Schizosaccharomyces pombe: one gene and its partner. The protein of the gene in region 1 interacts with the protein of each later gene in a pairwise test. Each region holds a gene or a part of one and is shown in the gene's direction. Other genes may lie near its edges. The genes, in order: ubp1 and tts1.

Region 1 (5,383 bases):
AGTTTGACTCCTTTCGATTTCAGATTCTCCAAAACAAACAGTTGCTGAAGGACAAGTAAGGATGGTTGGGTTAGTACGACAATATTAAGGCAAAGAGTTTATTCCTGCTTTATTTTAAGGATATACTTATAGCTGTTATTCAAATTGAAATACATATATCAATATACCTTGTGAGATTAGAAATAAACGAATATAAAATATAAGAGGTACACTTATTTTGTGCATGACATGAAGAATATTGTAAAAAAGCAAGTAAGGAAACAACCATAAACGTAAAAAGGTAAACATAATAATAAGATTCTATATAGGTCTGCGTAAAAGGCATCACTAAGCGAATAAAGGCGGTTAGTTGAGATCCTCCACTTTTTCATTACGAAATGTAGGTTATGCAACAAAGGAAGTTGAGATTTTATCTTCAAAAGAAGCTAAATTATCTCTTTGTTTCTCTCCGTCCTTTTTATCACGGGATTTTTCACGGTCCTCTAATTGAGCTCGAAGATCCCTAGCAATATTTCGCAGCATGGCATATCCAAGATGCATTTTTCCTGAGAAGTGATCAGCTAAACGACGATCGTTGTCTAATCTTGAAAGATAAGCGCTACAAATATCACATACTTGTAGCTTTTGATGCGTTGTGCTAGCCTGACTGGGAATTTCATTCATGGAAATCACTTCATCATATAATTCTTTCCTGTATGTCTTCAACCTATTAAGCTCAATAAAATGTTTAACTGCATCATTCACTAATTTTCTTTTTGCAAGCGCCTCCATTTCTGTAATAATAACTTCAATTGAATGGTCGGTATGTATTATATCTCGCATTAGCTCATCTATCCGTTCTTCCTCCTCTTTTGTTTTTTCTCTACGAGCTTCAGCAATATCAATACGCTTATTACAGTCATCAACATGTCTTTCTAGGTCTTCCAGATAATCCCACTCGTAGCCATAGTCATGTGAATAACTAGCCCGTTCATAATCCGACTTCAACTTGTCACTGTGGATCTTTGGACAAGGCCCCAAATCCATTTTAGTATTTGTAAATATATCATGAGGACAAATACCACATAAAAAGCTTCTGCAAACTTTGCGATCAGTGAAATGTACTAGGCCTCGAGAGGTAAAGTTACTCAAATTACTGCCCATCAACTGTTCTATGATTTTCCTCTGTTCAGCGGCCATAATAAGTGTATTTTCGGCAAAATGTAATTTTATCTCTGCTGATGTCCTATTTGTGGGTTTTCGACAAACGCTGTAAAATGAATAGAAAATTTCACTAGGTTTTACAAGTAGTATAAAGAATTTTTTCCTTTATTCACAATTAAATCAAAATTAAAGTTTACAATCGCTCAAATTTGATTGAGATGTAATTTGAGTAGCTTGTTGGGTTAAAATTCAAAAAAAAATTTCCCGGAAAAGTTCAAAAGTTGCTATTTCTAAATCGTTAAATATAGACGAGGCAATATATTGATACTTTATTCTTTCGATTAGATCAACTTTTACAAATTGTTGTTGAAAACTCAAACTTGACAGAGGGCAGCAATATGCGTCACCTGTATAAATCCTTTTTCACCATTTGGTACAACAAGTTTACTTAAACCAACAACTCCATTCCCCCAATTTTTTGCAATTTATAAGAGTGGAACTTGAAGAAACAAAAATATAACGAATAAATGACCATGTTTTGAGAATGGCATCAACTGCTACTCAAAACGCAAGCACTCGATATTCCCAAATTTGGATCGACCAACCTGCTTCATTGCCGTTCCAAGATTCGATAAATTTAATTAAAGAGGATAAAGAAAAATGGAAAAAAGAAAAAACTGCCTTTTTAATTGACTATGACTGGTTCGAAGGATACGTTGACTTTATATATGGAGAAGGCGACAACCCTGGTCCTATAACTCAATGGAGGCTGCTGGATGAAAAAAACGAGCTTAAACATTCTTTGGAGGAATCTATTGATTATAGCATTGTCTCTGCTTCGCTATGGCATATGCTTGTTGAGTGGTATGAATTTTCTTTAAAGGTCTCTACAGTACTTGTAAAAGGCATTATTAATTAAATTCAAAACTCATATTCATATATGTTTTGAAAGCATTGTGTCTTAGTTTTGAATATTTCATTAATTTATGTAGTTTGCATTACTTCCCACGGTGCCTAAATATATAGGTTCCCTTGGATTTTGAGGCCTCTTTTCAATTCCCATTATGTTATTAGCTAACTCAAATATAGGTTTGGATTAGAAGGTCTAGCTATAGAGCGAAAAGTTCTTTTGGTAGGATTGGCTGCTGAGCAAAAGCCATTCGTAGATATCTATCCTATAAACTTTACTTTGCACGTTTTATTCGACCCAATAAACGGTGAAAACACGAGCTATTCACCATTATACCAAATTGATGAACCATATCATAGTGATGAACCCTATGCGTTTAGCTTTTCCCGAAGTGATACCCTTCGGTCTTTGTACAAACAAGTGATGGAAGCTTTCCAAATATCTGATGGTACTTCTTTCCGTTTATGGTATCTAAACAAAAGTAATCTATCTTCTAGGTTTGTAAGTTTGTCGGAGTTCAATGATCAACCTGCGATTGCTTTGCTTTCCGAGTATGCTGTTTGCATGACTATTTTCGAAATAGATATTGCCGATGGAAGCTTATTGCTCGAGTTTCAACATCCTAACGGAGAGTGGTTATCTGACTCTATAACCAAAGAGCAAAATTTAACAATAAATAAAGAAATCGGACTCTGCGGTCTTTACAATTTGGGTAATTCATGCTATATGAATTCTGCCCTTCAATGTATGATACATACACACGAACTTACAAAATATTTTCTTAGTGATTCTTATGAAAAGGATATTAATTACAACAATCCGTTGGGAATGATGGGGAAAGTTGCCTTGTCTTATGCTAGTCTACTGAAGATGATCCATCATACTGCTGATATGCACTCGGTGTCACCTAGTTCTTTCAAATTTATAATTGGCGAGTTTAATACCTATTTTTCTGGATATCGTCAGCAAGATTCTCAGGAATTCATCGCCTTTTTCTTAGACGGGTTACACGAAGATTTGAATCGAATTCAGATAAAACCATACTTTGAAAGGCCAGATTTATTTGACGAACACCCATTACATGTTCAGAGAGTTGCAAATCAATGTTGGGATATTCATACAAAACGAAATGATTCCATAATTGTTCAGTTGTTTCAAGGAATGTATAAAAGCACCTTAGAGTGCTCCATATGCTATCAAAAATCAACTGCGTTTGATCCGTTCATGTATCTTACTCTTCCACTTCCTACTAGTGCAAAATGGCGACACAAGGTAGTGTACGTCCCGCCATTTGGCACACAGAGTCCTGTGGAATTGTATTTGGAGCTTCTCATGGAAAGTACGGTAATCCAAATGAAGTTTCAAGCTACGGAAAAGCTTCAAAAGATGGGACTCGAATGCGGGGAACTTACTGCTTGTGACATTTATCGGGGAAAGGTGTACAAGGTATTGAAAAATAAAGACAAAATATCTAAAAAAATTCATAAATGGGATCATGTTGTACTTTATGGAAGTACTGCAAACGGATTAACAATACCTATCGTCCATGGATGTAAACGACCGGCAATGCCCGGATCATACCAGTCTAACGATGTGTTTGGATTTCCTTTACAACTCAACGTCCGTTCTCGAAATGTACTCACAAATGATTTAGTGAAAGAGATTGTCGAACTGTATCGAGTTTATGCAGGCATAGACGTAGCAATCGGAACTCTTCAGCTTGGACTGAAGCGGATGGAAAGTAAGGCCGGGAAATGGGAATGCATAAAGGAAATTGAGGTTAAAAGGTTTGAAATAGTGGAGGAAGAGGAAATCGTTATTGACGACAAAACTGTAATTATGTGTCTATGGAACGATCAACAATATGAAAAGTTATTTTATAACTGCGAATGGATATTTGAAAAAATTCAGTTCCATATGGAGTCCATCACCCTTGAAGATTGTTTACTGGAGTTTTCCAAGCCAGAGCAGCTTGATTTACAGGATTCCTGGTATTGTCCTGGGTGTAAGGCATTTCGACCGGCAACAAAACGGCTGGAGATCTGGCGATTGCCAAAAATACTAGTCATTCATTTAAATCGATTCAGCGGCCACGGTGGAGATTTGCGGAGAAGACGTAAACGAAGGGATTTAGTAGTTTATCCAGTATTTGATCTCAATTTGAAGCAATTTTTGAGTCCATTTATAAAAGATCATGAGTGGCTATCGTCACAGAAATCGATGCTTTACGATTTGTATGCAGTGGACAATCATCACGGGTTTATGAGTAATGGTCATTATACTGCCTATGCAAGAGATGCATCGAGCCAAACATTCTTTAAGTTTGATGATACAGCTATTTGTGAAATAGATCCGGAGGATATTGTCACATCGTCTGCTTATGTATTGTTTTACAGAGCAAAGAATTAAAGAGACGTATAATAGAGGTGATATGAACTTTACTCTAACTAAAGGCTAATGTCGTTTGTTTGAATATGTATGAAACTGGAAATTGAATATGAACGAAGACGAGGAAGAGGTGGGAGTTTTTGCAATAAAAAAGTAATAAAATAAGCTATTAAAATAATCCATTACATTTATTATTCATAGAGCATTAAAATTATGAAAAAAAAAGTAGTAAACTTTTGCAACCAGACGTTTTTAAAAGCCAGTGGGATTAACACGATTAGTACTACGGGTCCATTTTGGTGATTTATGGACACCCTTGCGGAAGCCTTGGAGACCGGCACCTTGAGTCTTCCTGGTAAACATAGTGTATTTATCCTTTGGTGACATTTGGGATTCAGGCTGATGGTTAGCAACGAAACTTTCAATTCGTTTGCACGATTGATTTTTCTCTTGCAACGCCGTGCGCAAAACATCTACCACCTCATCGACGGCACGAAGTCGTTGACGGTGACGATATTTTCTTCGCTGGGATAATCTCCAAGGTACTTTATGAACAAGACCGCCAAAGCGAGCCAAAGTCGAGTTAAATGCACCCAGCATATTTTTCGTATAAAATCAAAAGGAGAGGAAGAAGGTTGGATCAAAAAGAGCAAATAAAAATTTTTTGTTAAGTTTTTGGGTGATAGACAAATTCTGAGTAGTTGATGGTTTGTCACAAAGTAGTTTACGGCTCCAACGAAACAGCAAAGATGTGAACAAAAATTAACTTGATTAGCGTCCTAAATTGATTTAAATATTATATTGCCATTCAAATATAAACACTACACCTCCAAAATGGTGGAGTTGGTTAACTGAAGAATGATATAGGTTTTGGGTAAGTTCATATCCTTGGGTGTACCTTCCAACTCGAATCCACGTGACCACCTGCCAGTAAGAATCGGC
Region 2 (3,968 bases), on another chromosome or scaffold:
TTGAAGAGTGAATTTATTTGTCTTCCATTCATCTCGGACAGCCTCTAAACCATCTAACATTTTATCCAATTCATCAGCACTAATGATTCCGCGTTGTTCTAATGCCTTAGCATAAGCTTTCGAGCCATCAATGTCGGCATTGAACATGCGCTTGTCATAATGAATAGACTCATTATAAGCTGTCATCAAGGGATCAGTGGCGCCAGTAAATCTACCGCCCCAAAGTTTTTGTGAAGAAGCCATTCAGAATTGTTAAAACAGAGTCAGTTTTTCAAGTTTTCAACCAACGCAAAAAGGAGGTAGTACTACTTAAAATTTAATTTATCTAATCTTTTGAGAGTATGGCTATATGACCGTGTAACCTCTTCCTTATCGCAACCTATTGTTATATCACATTAACGATACGGCGATAGATATGAAATTGATATTATAATCGCTATAATAAGATCTAACGTATTGGAACGTATAAACACTTAATAAATGTTTACATTCCGCTTCGTTATTTCTTTCCTTAAGTTTACAAAAGATATCATATATGGAAGCTTTGGTTGGAATCTTACTGTATAAATGTACTCAACCTGAATGATTTGTTTTGTCTTTCTGATTTATTAACTCAGAGCTACCAAAGAATTTCGCGAGCATTAGCTTAGATTTAAGAAAATTGACTGTTATAAAGATTGAGAATTCTTAAAAGATTTTCTTGTTAGTTGTGATTGTTTTTTCGATTTTTATTAGAACGATATTTATAGATGCCTGAAAACTCATTGGTAGATAAGTATTGTTTTCTCGTTTTTACTAGTGTCTGATCAGACTAAACTGGTTTAAACATTATGATGCATCTTCCGCCCAATTTCTTTTAAGATAGCTAACGAAAATCAATTAAAATAAACATGGACCAACCGAGTTTATGAATCCACCAAATATAGTGGGATTATAAAGAAGAAGAAAATCAACGAAGAATAAAGTGATAACAGTACATGATTTTCCTTTTCCCTCTTTACTTTCGTCTCTTACTGCCTTAAATTATACACTGCATTTCAAATTGTCAACTATATTATTGATTTCTTTTGGCATGAACACATATAGGGCGTATTACTTCGACAGTCTAACATTTACTTATACCAAGCTTCTCAAAATTCGTTTATAGTACTCGTCTTCGCCAACAAATAACTTAACAATTTACGTATGGATATGTTGTTAACAGAACGTCTGGACTCAAAACGGAATCCACAAAGTGTTATCTTCGAGAATACTCTAGAGCCAGTTTAGATCTTGCTAGTTATTTTTAAATAGAAGTTATTGAAGGTTGCCGAGCAATACAAGTGTGATATAGTAATGTTGAATCTGAACCATTTATTGTCCACTAGTAAATGTGCAAGAATTAATCCATTTATTGTTTCCATGTAAAACATAGAACAGATAGCGTAACAAACAACATCGTACTTTAGCATTTCACTTTGAAAAATTTTAGTCAGAGCTTCTTGTACATTGTTATCAAGGGTCGTAAATGAATTATGTTAGCTTTCTGGAGTGTCTGCTAGACTTAAACAATTGGATTTTAGAAAACTAAAGAGTGTAGCCCCTATTTAAATCTATTTAATTGTAATAGCTTGAATGCTACTCAAAGGCGTAAATCCTTTTTTAAGCGCTTATATTCCTGCTAAAAGAATTCTAGTCAAAACGTGTACTAGCGTATTTCACAGAAGTTCCATAGGTTTTCTTTTTCTGATGTAGGAAAATTTAGGATCTTCCATTGGTAAGCGTACATTGTACTCTATCACAACTATTACAACATACTTTTTGCTGGATATTAACTTAACAAAAGCCACATCTTTAAAACTTTGAAAATAACAACTTTGCTATAATGGAGCCAAAACAACGAGTTGTCAAGCCTTTAAAAGAAAGGGTTTTACCTGTTGTCAAGGTAAATATATCTATCATGTGTAAATCAGATAATAAATGTTGATTATAAGAAAAGTTTCTTATTTAGTTCCATAACGTAACTGTAATCTATTACTAAAACATAGACTAATTTGTCAGCATTATTTTATTTTGATTCAGTGTCATATTGTCTTCACTCTTTTAATACATTACTAACCGTTTATTATAGAACACCCAGTTTGTTTGGTTTTCGGGGCAAGTAATAGTGCTAATCTCTTCCGTCTTGTATGCTCTTCAAGCAATCCCTTTTCGTTCCGCTCCTCCATTTTTGTTTAAAAGCGCTGCCTTTGGTGCCATCGTTGCATATGCAATTGTCCTTTACAAAACTTATAGTCCAAACTTGACTTCCCGTGCTTCTTGGAATAAGCATTTCTTTGCCCGTCTTATGCTCGATGACAATGTTCAGTATTTTATTTTAGCTCTTTCAATGTTGATTGATCGTCCCATCCTATTTTCTCTCGCTCCATATGCCATTTACGCCACTTTCCACATCTCCACTTACTTGCGTAGTGTGCTTTTGCCTGCCATTTACCCTAATATTTCTGACGCGAAAACTGCGTCTTATGCTTCTCGTGTTTCTAATTTGCTAAATCAGTACACTCGAAGCCAATTTCAACCTGCTATGCAACTTGTTGCTTCTCTCGAAACATTTTTATTGTTCCGTTTGTTCTTTGGGGTTTTCTTACGTAAAAACTCAATTTCCAGGTTGGTGGGCTATATTTTCTTTCTTCGCATGAGATACACTAATAGTCACTTTACTCGTGCATCCATTAAAGCCGTTAGCCTTCGAATGGATCGTTTGGTTGCAGATAACAGAGTTCCTCCTGTTATCAAAAATGCTTGGCATACATTCAAAACTTATGTGTCCAAGTTCGGTGCTTCACCTGTAGGTACTGCTCAAAGCCGTCCCACTGCATCAAGCTCTACCACTGCTCCCTCATCTACTTAAAGTGATGCCTTATTCCTTTTGATTGCTAGAGATTTATATAAATTTCACCAATCAGTGTGATTTTAATATGTCTAAGTGCTCCTGGTTTTTGAGTTCTTTACTATTAACGAGTAGTTTCTATTTCACCCAAGTAAATTTTGAATGTTCATACCGTTTACCTCTTTCTCTAAAAACTTGTTTGAGATAATTCCGTTTATTTATTTTTGCTCACTACTCCTCTATTTCAGTTATCTTTGTTTGGGGGGTCTCCTCAGACTTTAGTTTAGCTTTTTTCAAGGAAATTGAAATATGGATATATGTTGTTTATCCAAAAACTCTTTGAGTATTAAAAGATTAAGAGGTAAAAATAATACGTTTTATTGAATTTTGTAGCACAATAAACACATGTATAGCAGCGCACTCTTGAAATCTAGCAAGTTATTAGTTTACATTGGATAAAATACCAGTTTCAATTGAATTTATGTGATGTTAATGCGTTTTGTTTCTTAGCATCTGCGCAAAGTAACGTAGCGCTGTGTTATGGTTCACTGGGAAACACCAACAAAGTGCTCGATGTTTTTCTGATTATCGTAATTATTTTGAACGATGTTTGATCAGTTGGAGTTTTATCCTGCTGTCAACTATGAGGATAATGAAACTCAAAATGATATAAAAGTAAGCTTAGATAAATGTTTTTACAAGGGCTTACCCAATTAGCTACCCGAAGTCGCCAAACTTGAAAATATCGAAACAGTGCATTCCATTTCTAAGGAAAGACGCGACTCTTTAACGGAAATTTTAAATGATTCTTCAAGCTTACCGGCACGTCCGTTTTCTCTGCCTAATCCCAATAATTCAACCGTAGAAAAGCAGTCGTTATTTCCATTTGAAGAAAAGATGAACCCCATATGGATAATTTCTAGACCTACTTTCTCTATTGAGCAAGACGCGGAAAAAAAAATTAATGAACTTCAAACGTTTACAAACATTATTGATCAGATATTGGGTCAGACTAATAACATTGAGTCAACATTGTTATCAATGAAAGAAAAGTTTGAAAGTTCTGAAAAAAAGCTGAGTGAATTCTCTGAAATGTGTG

The links.
Region 2: the proteins of ubp1 (region 1) and tts1 interact in a two-hybrid assay, tested with the Schizosaccharomyces pombe proteins (one large-scale study listed by BioGRID).

What each region holds. Positions count from the first base shown.
Region 1 is NC_003421.2:888,516-893,898, reverse strand, and holds ubp1 (ubiquitin hydrolase Ubp1), read left to right. Parts: upstream 1-1,583; 5' UTR 1,584-1,687; coding exon 1,688-2,007; exon of another isoform or gene 2,008-2,065; intron 2,066-2,232; coding exon 2,233-4,462; 3' UTR 4,463-4,618; downstream 4,619-5,383. Other genes in the region: U1 snRNP-associated protein Luc7, read right to left, coding at 385-1,179; mrpl31 (mitochondrial 54S ribosomal protein mL60), read right to left, coding at 4,694-5,041.
Region 2 is NC_003423.3:4,366,525-4,370,492, forward strand, and holds tts1 (tetra-spanning protein 1), read left to right. Parts: upstream 1-1,817; 5' UTR 1,818-1,864; coding exon 1,865-1,924; intron 1,925-2,023; exon of another isoform or gene 2,024-2,110; coding exon 2,111-2,890; 3' UTR 2,891-3,292; downstream 3,293-3,968. Other genes in the region: arg41 (argininosuccinate lyase), read right to left, coding at 1-243; COG complex subunit Cog3, read left to right, coding at 3,476-3,544, 3,587-3,968. UniProt on the Schizosaccharomyces pombe protein: Required for the correct positioning of the cellular division plane by delimiting the actomyosin ring assembly at the cell equator.